3 linked regions of the Coturnix japonica genome follow. The protein of the gene in region 1 purifies or fractionates together with the protein of each later gene. This does not show direct contact. Links are inferred from orthologs where the notes say so. Each region holds a gene or a part of one and is shown in the gene's direction. Other genes may lie near its edges. The genes, in order: PTPN6, KDR and RPL35A.

What was found.
Region 2: the proteins of PTPN6 (region 1) and KDR purify together in Homo sapiens (affinity purification with western blotting; 3 studies listed by BioGRID and IntAct, with this or other methods). This does not show direct contact. The link is inferred for Coturnix japonica from reciprocal best matches to the Homo sapiens genes PTPN6 and KDR.
Region 3: the proteins of PTPN6 (region 1) and RPL35A purify together in Homo sapiens (affinity purification with mass spectrometry; 3 studies listed by BioGRID and IntAct, with this or other methods). This does not show direct contact. The link is inferred for Coturnix japonica from reciprocal best matches to the Homo sapiens genes PTPN6 and RPL35A.

Annotation. Positions count from the first base shown.
Region 1 is NC_029516.1:69,602,619-69,606,263, forward strand, and holds part of PTPN6 (tyrosine-protein phosphatase non-receptor type 6), read left to right. Parts: intron 1-1,861; exon of another isoform or gene 1,862-2,224; coding exon of another isoform or gene 2,225-2,232; intron 2,233-2,497; coding exon 2,498-2,620; intron 2,621-2,937; coding exon 2,938-3,132; intron 3,133-3,645. UniProt on the Homo sapiens protein: Tyrosine phosphatase enzyme that plays important roles in controlling immune signaling pathways and fundamental physiological processes such as hematopoiesis.
Region 2 is NC_029519.1:58,827,871-58,831,931, forward strand, and holds the end of KDR (vascular endothelial growth factor receptor 2), read left to right. Parts: intron 1-868; coding exon 869-965; intron 966-1,069; coding exon 1,070-1,158; intron 1,159-1,950; coding exon 1,951-2,170; 3' UTR 2,171-3,481; downstream 3,482-4,061. UniProt on the Homo sapiens protein: Tyrosine-protein kinase that acts as a cell-surface receptor for VEGFA, VEGFC and VEGFD. Plays an essential role in the regulation of angiogenesis, vascular development, vascular permeability, and embryonic hematopoiesis.
Region 3 is NC_029524.1:13,176,561-13,180,607, forward strand, and holds RPL35A (60S ribosomal protein L35a), read left to right. Parts: upstream 1-1,283; 5' UTR 1,284-1,393; intron 1,394-1,687; 5' UTR 1,688-1,722; coding exon 1,723-1,733; intron 1,734-2,217; coding exon 2,218-2,370; intron 2,371-2,849; coding exon 2,850-2,994; intron 2,995-3,406; coding exon 3,407-3,430; 3' UTR 3,431-3,466; downstream 3,467-4,047. Other genes in the region: IQCG (dynein regulatory complex protein 9), read right to left, coding at 861-1,004, 1,093-1,182.

The DNA of each region.
Region 1 (3,645 bases):
ATCTGGACAAAATGTCTTCTATACAGCTAGACAAAACCATAATGTGATGGGTGAGCAATTGGGTGCTGCCTCACTTTGATCATTGTGTTCAGTTTTGGGTGCCACAGTATAAAAAGGACTTAAAACTATTAGAGAGTGTCCAAAGGAAGGCTTACTAAGATGGTGGAAGGTCTAGAGGGGAAGATACATGAGAAATGGCTCAAGTCCTTGGGTTTTTTAAGCCAAGAGAAGAGGAGACTGAGGGAAGACCTCATCGTGGCCTACAGCTCCTCATGAGGATCTCCTCTCTCTGATGACAAGTGATAGAACCTGAGGGAATGGCATGAAGCTGCAACAGGAAAGGTTCAGGCTGGATATCAGGAAAAGGTTCTTCAGTGGAGGGTGATTGGGCCCCAAAACAGAATCTCCTGGGGAAGTGATCACAGTCCTGAGTTTGCTGAGGCTTAAGAAGCATCTGGATGATGTTTTCAGACATGTGGTCTTGTGTGGAGTCGGGAGTTGGACTCCATGATCCTTATGGGTCCTTTCCAACTTGAGCTATTGTACTATTTGCTATGTATACACTACCTGAGTGTGAAAAGCAACATGACTTGTTCACTGATGGGTCCTGTTGTATTGTGGGAAAGCATTAGAGGTGGAAGGCTGCTGTATGGAGTCCTACATGATGAGTTGCAGAAGCTACTGAAGTTGCATTGAGGCAATTTGCAGAAGTGAAGGCCATCCAATGAGCTTTAAATATTACTGAAGAAAGAAGTGGCCAGTGCTGCACTGACTCCTGGGTGATGACAAATGCAACAACCACCAAGTGACTGGAAATATACCCATGTCCTGTGCCACTGTGTGAAACCATCTAGAGTTGGTTTTCCCTTCATAGCATCTGGTATAATGCTGTGTTTTGGTTCTAGGAGTATAACACCTCTGGTAACACACCAGTGCTTTTAGTTGGTAGTATATTCGTTGTATAACATTTCCTTCATTGAGTCTCTGTGCCTTTAAAGTTTCCCTCTTTTAATATCAGTTTTAAGTCAGTGCAGCTGGATTCCTGCAGCTTACCACATCCCATCTTATCGTCTGTGTGTGAAACTGGAAGTGTTTTAAAAGAAGCTGTTTTTTTGTTGCCTGATCTGTCTTTCTAGCAATGAAGTTTAGTTTCCCCATTTGTGTCTCCTGTACTTCCCTCTGCTGTTAGTTTCTGTATGTCTTGACCATTGTGAGCAGCCTGTTCAGTTCTTTGCAAGATTTCTTGGTCGTGGTATGTAGGGAAGTCTGCAACTGCTGCTGTGTGAAATGAACAAATCTCTTGCTGTTCCTGCTGCCGACATCACACATCTCAGCTACCCTGTGTGGTAGCTGTGCTTAGAGTGCTGGCCTATGCCTCTTAAATTCTGCACACCTGGCTTTACTCGGATTCCCCCTTTGGCTGCTTAGAGCACATGGGATGTTTACCTGCCTATTGGGGTGGTGGAGGTTTCAGCTGCATGGCTGAGAGGAGCCCTGCAGAGCCAGGTGCATTGCACCATGCAGGTGGTCATGATTTGTAGGCTGCTTTATTGCTGAATGTGTACCAGCATGTGCTGCCCATTTTACCCTTGCAGATGTGTGGATGACCTTAAGGGAGCTGTGGTCACCTTAGTACCACTGCAAGGACTTTGGTGTGGGGAGCAGTTGTGTTTCTTACCGACCTCACGGGAAAGAAGGAGAACAGAGGTCTTGCAGAACTGAAATCTGTGACCACAGCTGGGTCCCTAAAAGCACTTATAGAGCCAAACCTGATGTGGAAAAAAAAAAAAGAGAAAAAAAAGCAAGGGCCTGAGAATAACAAGGGGCTGGGGAGGAAAGACACAAAAGGAGAAGCAGAAGTGTGTGCAAAGCAGCTTGGGGCTGAGGAGCTGATGGTTCAGAGTGCTTCCTGTTCCTGGAGCCGCGTGCGTTCAGCTGCGCACCAGGCTGCTCCTACCCCTGCACTACAGCAGCGCACAGAGAGCCAGGAGATCAAGGCACATATCCAGAACCAGTGATGGAGAGGCACTGAATGGGCTGACGGTAGACTGCAGGAGGGATACATGGCCAGCTCCCAAGAGAAGCAGAAACAACTTAGTATCGGTTGCTCCATCGCTCATCTCCAACTTCCCTTTTCTCACCAGCGCAAAGTGACTTTTCCTCTGTATTTTTTGAGTTGCTTTGGTGATAGCCACTTGACCTCCCCTTCTTTTTTCCCTTCACAATGGTGAGGTAAGAGGGTCTGACAAGTGTGTGTGCGTGTGTGTGTGTGTAGGCAGGGGAACAAGCTCAGAGGGGATCACACTGATAGCTGTATCTCAGCTGTAATCCTTCATAGGCTTGGGAAAATGGTGGGTACAAAGGGTGCTTGTGCTGTTGCTGGCTGTCATCTGCATAGGTCTACCTAAGGAAGATGACTGGAAGCCATTCTTCACTGTACAACAGTGGTACCTGGCATTTTATGTTTACTTGTTTCTGTTTTCATCTCCTTTTGTAGGTGGTTTCATCGTGACCTGAGTGGGCTGGAAGCTGAAGCCTTACTGAAGGGACGAGGTGTCCATGGGAGCTTTCTAGCCAGACCCAGTCGAAAGAATCAAGGGGATTTTTCCCTTTCAGTTAGGTAGGTAATTTGGACTTCAACTGCTGTCTTTCCAAGGTTACATGTGCAACATGCTTAGGTCCTCATTTGTCCTACGGTCTCTCCTTCAACCTGTCCTTATTCCTCTGACTTCTATCCAAGCTGTAAAAGGACCTGAGCTATCCAGACCCTTCTAGACTCTGCCTTAACTTTCCTCAAGAGCTTCTTCTTCCAGCCATCTCCTTCCACTGGGATGGTTTGCTGCAGTTCCATGTTAGGAGGTGATGCAGGAAGGGGCTCCACATTTTCTGGTTTTTATTCAGCCATCTCACCAGTCTACTCTGTGCCTCATCCCTCAGGGTTGGTGATCAGGTAACCCACATCCGTATCCAGAACACTGGGGATTTCTATGACCTGTATGGAGGGGAGAAGTTTGCCACCCTTGCAGAGCTGGTGCAGTACTACACGCAGCAGCAGGGCTCACTGCAAGACAAAGATGGAACCATCATTGACTTGCGATATCCGCTCAACTGTTCTGATCCCACTACAGAGAGGTATGGAGAAAACCAAGCATTGGTATGGCTGTGGTGATGTTTCATGCCCTTCTCTCTTCCTTGCCCACATCTCTAGAGAGAACCTTGCAAAATGCATCTCCTGGCTCCCGCATCCTCCTGTGTTTCTGCAGAGACACCATCCTCAGCAGTAGCTGGATGTAGCTTGACAGCAGAGCAGACTTGATGGGGATCTATTCATACTTCCAGTTTCTTGTCGCCTTTGTGATTTCTGTACTGTTCATAAAAAGCAGGGGTTGTGGCGTTAGTTATGTATCCTCAGTGGTACGTGGGGGTGACTTGGTGTGTGGGAGCCCTCAGCCTTGCCCCAGACCTGCTCATTTGGTCCTGGTTGACTCATGTGGCTGAGTGGGGCCCACATTCACCTGCTATTCCCAGCCTGCTGAGTCTCCTTCCTGTCCCCACTTTGCATACCTCTCTGACACAAAGTTCCTAAACCAAATCAGGTGGTTTTGCCCTTGCATCAAGTGTTCAGGCTTGCTGATGCAGCTTGGG
Region 2 (4,061 bases), on another chromosome or scaffold:
GGAGGAGAGGCAAGCATAGGGAAAACAGAGAATTTTAAAGAATATTTGGGGCTAATTAAAATCAACAGGAGACTGGCAGGACTTGGCATATCTAAACTCAAAGCTGGGAAATGGGATGAGTGATGCCTTGTATTGCCTTCAGCTTTGCACAAGTATGTGCAGGTTTCTCTTCTAACTCCATAGTGCCCAGAGTGTGTTTTTCTCCATTGGCTGTCAGGAACATAAATTGGAGCTATTTAACTGAGACAACATCCATTTTATCCCAGATCCACTTAGAGAGAAGGCTGTTGTGTTTGCTTTATTAGTACCTCCATGAAACTCCAGTTTTTCTATTTGTTATTTTTTGGTCTAATATTTTTTATGGATGTCATCCTGACCAAAGGGCTTCTTTTGGAGGAGAGCCTTCAGGAGAGATGCAGCCCTGCCTGTGCCGATCCCCATGGTTTAAGGGCGTCAGTCTGCTGAGTCTGCTGTTGTTGTCCTGGGTCCAGGCAGGGGTCCCAGAAGTTCAACCCAAAGAAAGAGACACATGTCTGTGTTCCAGGCTCCTCTGTTTATTATACTTCTGAGCAAAGCTTGCAGGAAGTGAAGCCCTCCAGTGTAACTGAGGAAAGGAGCTGTTTTTTCAAAGCTGTTTCTTAGAATTTGCTCAGAGATCAAGGCTGTCAGGAGCAGGAGGTCAGAAACTTGCCACTTGTTAGGCAGTTTGTCCTTTTCAATAAATGGATATTTTGAGGTTTGCATAATATGTTTTGACAGAAGGATTAATTTCTCTGTAGAGAGATAAAAGGATACTGATATCACTGTGCTGTTTTCAGCCCAGTTGTGGATAGTGGATGCAAAGCGATTGTTTTTGTTTTCTTTTCAGTCAGTACCGACAAGGTAGCAAAAGAAAAAGCCGACCCGTGAGTGTGAAAACGTTTGAAGATATCCCATTGGTGACCACTGTAAAAGTTGTTCAGGAGGTGAGACTGTTCTTTCAATGTCTTCTCCTTTTATTGATGTGTGTTATTTTTTTTTCTTATTTTTAATCCCCTTTCCATTTAATGCATTTTAACCACTTTTATAGGAAAACCAGACAGACAGTGGGATGGTTCTTGCATCTGAAGAGCTAAAGACTCTGGAAGAGCAAGATAAACAAGTCAAAATACCCTTCAGGTAAGGCTCAGGCTGCAAATAGGATTGAATATGGATTTTTTCTTGTAGTGATTCAGAGCACTGATAGGTTTGTAGATTTTGTTAAAATACAAAAACTTTTCTTACTGAATTCTTAAAACCACACAAAGAAAAGTTTTTCATTGTGTATCTGGCCATCTGCATTTTGTACCAAGAGAGGGAAGGTAGCACAACATAGAAGGGACTTGTATTTACCAGCTGCAAAAGCATCAACCACCCCTTGAAGGAACTGAGCCAGTAACACAACTGGGATGACAAAGAGCTCTTTTTTGTTATTCTTTCTTTCTTTCTTCTGAAACTAGCTCTTGAGTTTTCAGGATGTACCTGGGTGTATTTTCAGAGCATTGTACAGGGATTCAATTGTGCAGTTCACAGGAAATACAGTGGCATTCATCTGACTTATGCTTTCTGAGAGCTTCTCAGAGGAATTATTTCATACAAACAAAGGTGTATAGCAGTCATGATTGCACTGTGGCTGTACTGAACAAAACATACCCAGGTTTTATCTCCATTTCATCTACAGTTGCAATCTAACTCCCTACTATCATAAAATTAAATATTTTTCATTCATTAGGGTTAGTTAGGGCATATAAAAAGATTTCTCCTTGTAATCAAACACACATTTAAAAGGGCTCAAAGCCAGTTTTGTTGAATTCACTGTTTTGCTTTTGTTGTCGCTGTGATGTGAAGCAGTTACCCACAGGAGTCACCCACTTTGTCTTCCAGAAGACAAATCTGCTTCTCTCTGACTTGACCTATCTGTTATTTTTGCAGCACACTGGCGCCCAGCAAAAGCAATGAGTCTGTCATGTCCGAGGCATCCAACCAGACAAGTGGCTACCAGTCAGGGTACCACTCAGACGACATGGACAACATGGTCTGCTCCAGTGAAGACACAGAACTCTTGTGTGCCCAGGAGGCCTCCCCCACGCTGCCCCGTGCGCATGGCCTGGCATATGACAGCCCTGCGCCTCTTGCGTCCCTGCCACTCTAAGCCGAAACCAGTGGCTCCAGGTCCCCTGGGATGTGCCTTCCTTGCCTTGGCTGGTGGTATTCACATTTGGTGTGTGCAGAGACTGCGGCTGTGGGCCTAGGGAAAGACGTTTATTTTTTCAAGAAGAGGATACAGAAGCATCTTGCAGCCCCAAGGCAGTGCCAGGCTGTGAGGTGCATTCCTCCAAAGACTCTTGTGGCTGAGGATGGGAAGTCATGGCTGTGGTGTGTGAATGCAGTGCCAACTCTATGACAGAAGCAGTGTAATGGCCTTTAGGACCTCGGTGGCAGGCCGAGCCCAACACGGACAGTGGCATGGCGTTCAGCTCAACTGTTGCTAATTGTACGAAATAATGACACAGGCCTGCTCTTTTGTTTTTCCCGGCTGGACTCCAGGAAGGAAACGGCACAGCGCTGGCTTCTTGTTTCTCAGAGTTATCCCATGCCTGCACCTCCACAAACTATAAAAGGAACCTCCAGCTCAAGGCTCTGGCACTCACCAATAGCCTAAGGCTAAACATAGGCTGGGCTAAATATAGGTGGGAGAGGTGATCTCTGTCCTTTGTGGAGAAAAATGTTGCTGTACTAAACCCTGTGATCTCCATTTCCTTGGGGAAGATGTACTTGGTGAGATTCATTAGGAGAAACGGTGTGATGATGGAACATGGGTGCATGGGGCATGTTTGCCATGGTGATGTCTCTGCACACACCCTCCCCAGCCCCCTTAGTCCTTGCCAAGGTCCTGATCACCTGTGAGCTAGTCAGGAGTGCTGTGGAAAATTCTCCTCTGAGCTGCCACTGGGGCAGAGATAGAGAGGGAGGGTTCATTTACTTTGGGAGCATAGACAGCCCTTTGGTCTTGATGGGTTATCCGAAAGCCACTCTGCCTTCTCTTCTCATCCTTCTTCCCCAGGTGTAAGCCACATCTGTCACTGACAAACTCAAAGTTTGTTTGCACCAGCAGAGATTGTGATTTATGTAGTCGTGGGAATCTGTGACTGATTTCATGGCAGCTCCAATCTTCTCCAAGTGGTGAGACTGTAGTTGATGGACAACTTCTTACTGTGCTCTTGTAGTCCCAGAACACTATTGATAAACACAATGCAAACTGCAAGGTTTTAAAATGTAAAGCTATTTCTACTGAGTTCTTTTTTGTATTTTTATATTGTTGGGTTATTTTGTTTGTTTGTACTTACTATAAAGTCAGATGCTGGGAACCATGGATATAAGGCATATACAGTATTTATAGCCTACTTATGTAGAAATAAATGTAATATATTAAAATATAAATATATATATTATATAATGGATATTGTACTATTCACATTTTATATCAGTGTTCTGTAGCATCATGAGGGTCACAACATTTTTAATAGATAAAGCTTTTCATTTTATTATAAGAGACTGGAAACAGAGGTGGGGGGTACAGGTAAATTTTCTCTTGCCTGTATTTACTTATATCCTGACTACTGACAGGGAAACTTATCAAGTACTAGTTATCTTAAGTGCCACTTAACAAATCTAGATATTTCTGCCATTGTACAGGTCTATGAACGCTTCTGTGGGTACCTGTAGTAAAGAAACTTCAGTAATTTTTAATGGTTGGAAGTAACTGCATTTAAAGAATGGCTCGTAGGAGAAGACTGCTTATACAGCCTGATTCTCCTCTGAGTTTATAGAGCTCAGTTAAGGAATGGTTGATCCAATTGTATTGAGGCTGTTGCCTGAGGAGTAGCAGTTTATCTTAAAGCCTTATTTGATTTTTTCCCACTTGTCTTTCTTCCGTCTCACTTGCAGCTGAAATGTTGCCCCCTGCTCTTATGTAACCATGCATTGCTTAATTTTGAATCCATACTTAAACCTGCTACCTTTTCACTCTGTTTTCTGCTTTT
Region 3 (4,047 bases), on another chromosome or scaffold:
GACTGAGGCTCTAAAAGTTGGCTTCTCCAGAGCCATTTTCTGGTTTCTAAACTGCTTCCTCCTTGATTTGAGGATTGTACTCCATGGGAAAGTTGTGTCTTAAGAAATAAACTACTTAGTAAAAACGAGCCTCTGTGTTTGAAGAGAAAAACCAAGTGTACCTCTAGGAGGTCTGTCAGCCTCAGTGTGTGTGAGGGAGAAGGAGAACTGCGCCCACCATTCTCGGGATCTGCTGTATCAGATCAGCTGGCACAGCGGAGCTTTCACAGCCCCATCTGTGGGAGAAAAGCATCCTCGGCCAACAGGTGAGACGGGCTCAGGGTGCTCTCTAAGGAGAGCAGTGCCCTCTATAGCGCAGCCGGAGCATTGATCGAGCACTACAGTTATGTCGAGCAGCTTCTGCTCTACTTTATGCCTCTCCCCAGAACCACTTAGTTACGGTGTCTATTAGAAATCAACTCATTAATAACGGGCATTAATAATGAGTAGTTACTAATAGATTTTTGAAGGGAAATCTGTCTTATTTTGTTGTCTGTGGGGACTAGAGGAGCTTCAGTGTGTGCTTATAGAGTATCAGAATGACCCTGATTTGGGGTATTATCAAAGTCCCTGTTCTTTATTATTTATAAAGCTGTGCACTTAGGAGACGTCAGCCATCTGTTGTTTATTTTCCCCTGATCCTTTACTTATCATCTGACCACTGAGGTTGTAGAATGAAGCCTCAGAAGCTCATCTTATGTCACCAGGGTCCTTCACACAGCCATGCCAAAGAGACAAGTACCTGTGTGGAGACTTATAGAATGCTGACAGAAGACATAAAAGGCATTGAGAAAAATGAGAGCAAACACAGAGGCACATACACTGCTGACATCTGCCTTGCCCTCCTGTGAAACCGGCATGATGTACCCGAGGATGGCGAGCTGATCGATGCAATTCTCCAGCACAGCAGTGAGCAGCAGAGCTTCCAGCCGAGGGAGCTTCTCCATTTCTTTAGTGCCTGTGCTCTTGTAAAGAGGAATAAAGAGGAATAGAGGTGGGATGGTGTTAGTAACACTAAACCAAAGCCCACCCCTCTCCCTCACCGCTCAGTACCGTTCCGCGGCGCTCAACGCGACGCCGTCTCCATGGCGCCCGGGGTCCTGGCGGGGCTGTCCCTGCGGGTGCCGAGGCCTGTTCCCTCATCGCCGCCCGGAGGAGTAACGGGACTCACGGACATGGCGAGGGACGACAAAAGGCACCGATATCGGTGCACACCCAGCGCTGTGTCGGCCCGTACCGTGTGCGCTCAGGCTGTGACACGGGCAGCCCGCAGCCGGGGCCCTTAGAGCCGCAATCCCGGCGGGCCGCGCGCCGCCTCGTCCTTTGGCCGCCATCTTGGCTGCGCGCCGTGCTGGTGAGCGGGGTGCGGCGGGCGGGGTGTTGTGTCGGGCGTTGTGTCGGGCGTTGTGTCGGGCAATGACCATCCCGGCGGCGGCGGGGACACCGGGGCGGGGCGGATGGCGGGGTGTCGGGTGTGGAGCGGGCGGGATGGCGCCGATACACGGCGGATGGTGTCGGCTCTGGGGCTGAAGGGAGCTGAGGTGCCGGCGGGGCCTTGCGCTGTGAGGAGCCGGAGCCGGCCCGCTGCAGCCCGCGGTGCTGAGGCCTTGTCGGGCTGTGGGCACTGAGCGGGGTGTGTTGTTTGTAGGCTGAGCTGCCGGGACTGCGCTGCACGAGGACGCCATGACCGGGAGGTGAGTGTCTGCCTGTGTCTGTACGGCTGGATGGGGAGCTGCGCTGTGCTGACGGCACCGCTGAGTCTCTGCTGTCCCAGCACGGCGCTGCCCGGTGCACACACAGGGCGATCTCTGTGTGTGTGTGTTACATCGCTACGTTTGTGTTGCTCTCTTGAAACCCCTGTCTTCAGCTGGCTGTAGCAGTTCAGCCTTGAAGGGAACATAGAAACAGAAGGGGGGACCAACTTCTTACATGGCCTAATAGATTTCTGTGAGATGTGAAGATGTTTTTATACTCATTAAGCATTGAGGAACCAGCAGTGCTACCCAAAGCTGTGGGTGCCCCCTCCCTGCAGGTGCCCAAGGCCAAGTTGGATGGGCCCTGGGCAGCTTGAGCTGGTGGAGGCATCCAGCCCATGGTACACGGTGGGCTTTGAGGTCCCTTCCAACCAAAGTTTAATGTGTTAAACTGAGTTAATCTGTTCTTTCTCCATGTCTTTAGGTTGTGGTGCAAGGCCACTTTTGCTGGCTACAAACGTGGCCTCCGGAACCAGCGGGAGCACACTGCCCTGCTGAAAATTGAAGGTGTTTACGCTCGCCAGGAGACAGAGTTCTACTTAGGCAAGAGATGTGCCTATGTCTACAAAGCTAAGAAGTAAGTTGGTCGTCTTTTATTATCTTTTGCAAATGCCGGGATGTGAGCAGTCAGTTGGTTGGCAGCAAATTGAAGCGAGATGAGTTTGTGGTGATCATTGAGTTTTTGAGATCCTTAGAGGTGGAATATTTTGCCAGGCAAAAAGAAGTTGATAGAGCAGCCCTTGTGTGTGTGTGTCACAGCTCTGCTGTGCCTGCAGTGGTAGAGGCTTTAAGAACAATTGTTTATTGTCTTCTGCTTGATTTTTCTTTGAGAGTGGTTGTTCTGATGTCAGATGTGGAATTCCCTGTAATAAATTTGTCAGGCTGTTCATCACTGCTGTCATTTCAAGGGTGGCACGTGGCTTCTTGTAGCTGCTGCCTGTCTCGATGCCTGAGGCCCTTTGTGCCTGTGGTGTGACTGGAGAAATCCTACGTTAAGATACTCCAGGTTCATTCCAAAGGAAACACACTGAGTTCTGTGTCTTTTTGTTCCCTCAGCAACACCGTCACCCCCGGTGGGAAACCCAACAGGACGCGGGTGATCTGGGGGAAGGTGACCCGCGCCCATGGGAACAGCGGGATGGTTCGTGCCAAGTTCCGCTCCAACCTCCCCGCCAAGGCCATCGGACACAGGATCCGAGTGGTGAGCAGCATTAGGAACCAGGGGCTCCTTGTCAGCCTTTGGGCTGCCTCGTAATCTCATCTTGCACCATTGCTTTTTGTACTCTGCCTCATTTCCTACCTAGTGGCAAGGGAGCTGCGGCATCAACTTCTCTTACTCCCCATATAACTGCATGAGCTGCATGGCAGAGTCCTCAAAGTAGGCATGGGAAGGCTGAGCAGGAGAGTGACTGCTGGGTGGGAGCTTTGATACCATCAGATGCTGCTTCACGTCACTCAGCTCCTTGTTAGACTTTCCTGCCCCTTTTCTGCATAAATGGGAGTCACTTAAAATAGTTGAAGAGATCCATGATTCAGATGATAGCTATAAATTTGCTGACTTGTACAGTCCAATAACAGGAATTCTAACGTGATTCTGTTGTTGTGTTTTTCAGATGCTGTATCCATCCAGGATCTAAATTTTTATTGGAAATAAAATACAGAATAATCTGTTCCATTTTTGTACTTTCCTCTTTTTCATCCCCTCCACCTATATTGAGAGCTTTGATTCTTCAGTAGTGTACCACAGTACACAGCACACTGATGTAGGAGTGACTCTAAACTAGCTCCTAAGCTGGAGATTTGACCCGTACTTGTTAAAGGCATCTGTTGAGCAGGCTGCCTTTGAAAAGGCAAATAACTGCCAGCCTTTATCATTGCCTCCAATGTAGAATCTGAATGGCATGTAGGTCCAAACAATAAATGTTTGCAGTCTTTGTAGACCGTGCCCCCAAGTTTTCTATAGAAAATGAGAAATATTTCCTTGTCTCGTGTGTGTGAGTGTGAGGTTTGTCAAACAGAAAGGCAATGAAAGTGGATTTAAAGATTCTTAAAGTGCGATTTTCTTAGTGCATAAAAAGATACCGTATGACTTTAAGGGAAGCTTCGGGCAGCTGCAGGTTGTCATGGCTGCTGCTGATGTCATAGTCTTCTTTCACTCCCCAAAGGAATCATCAGTACCCTGAGTGGGTGGTGACTGCTGAGGCAGGGAAGAGGTTGCCCTCACCTTCACTCAGGTACTCTGATGTGTTTCATT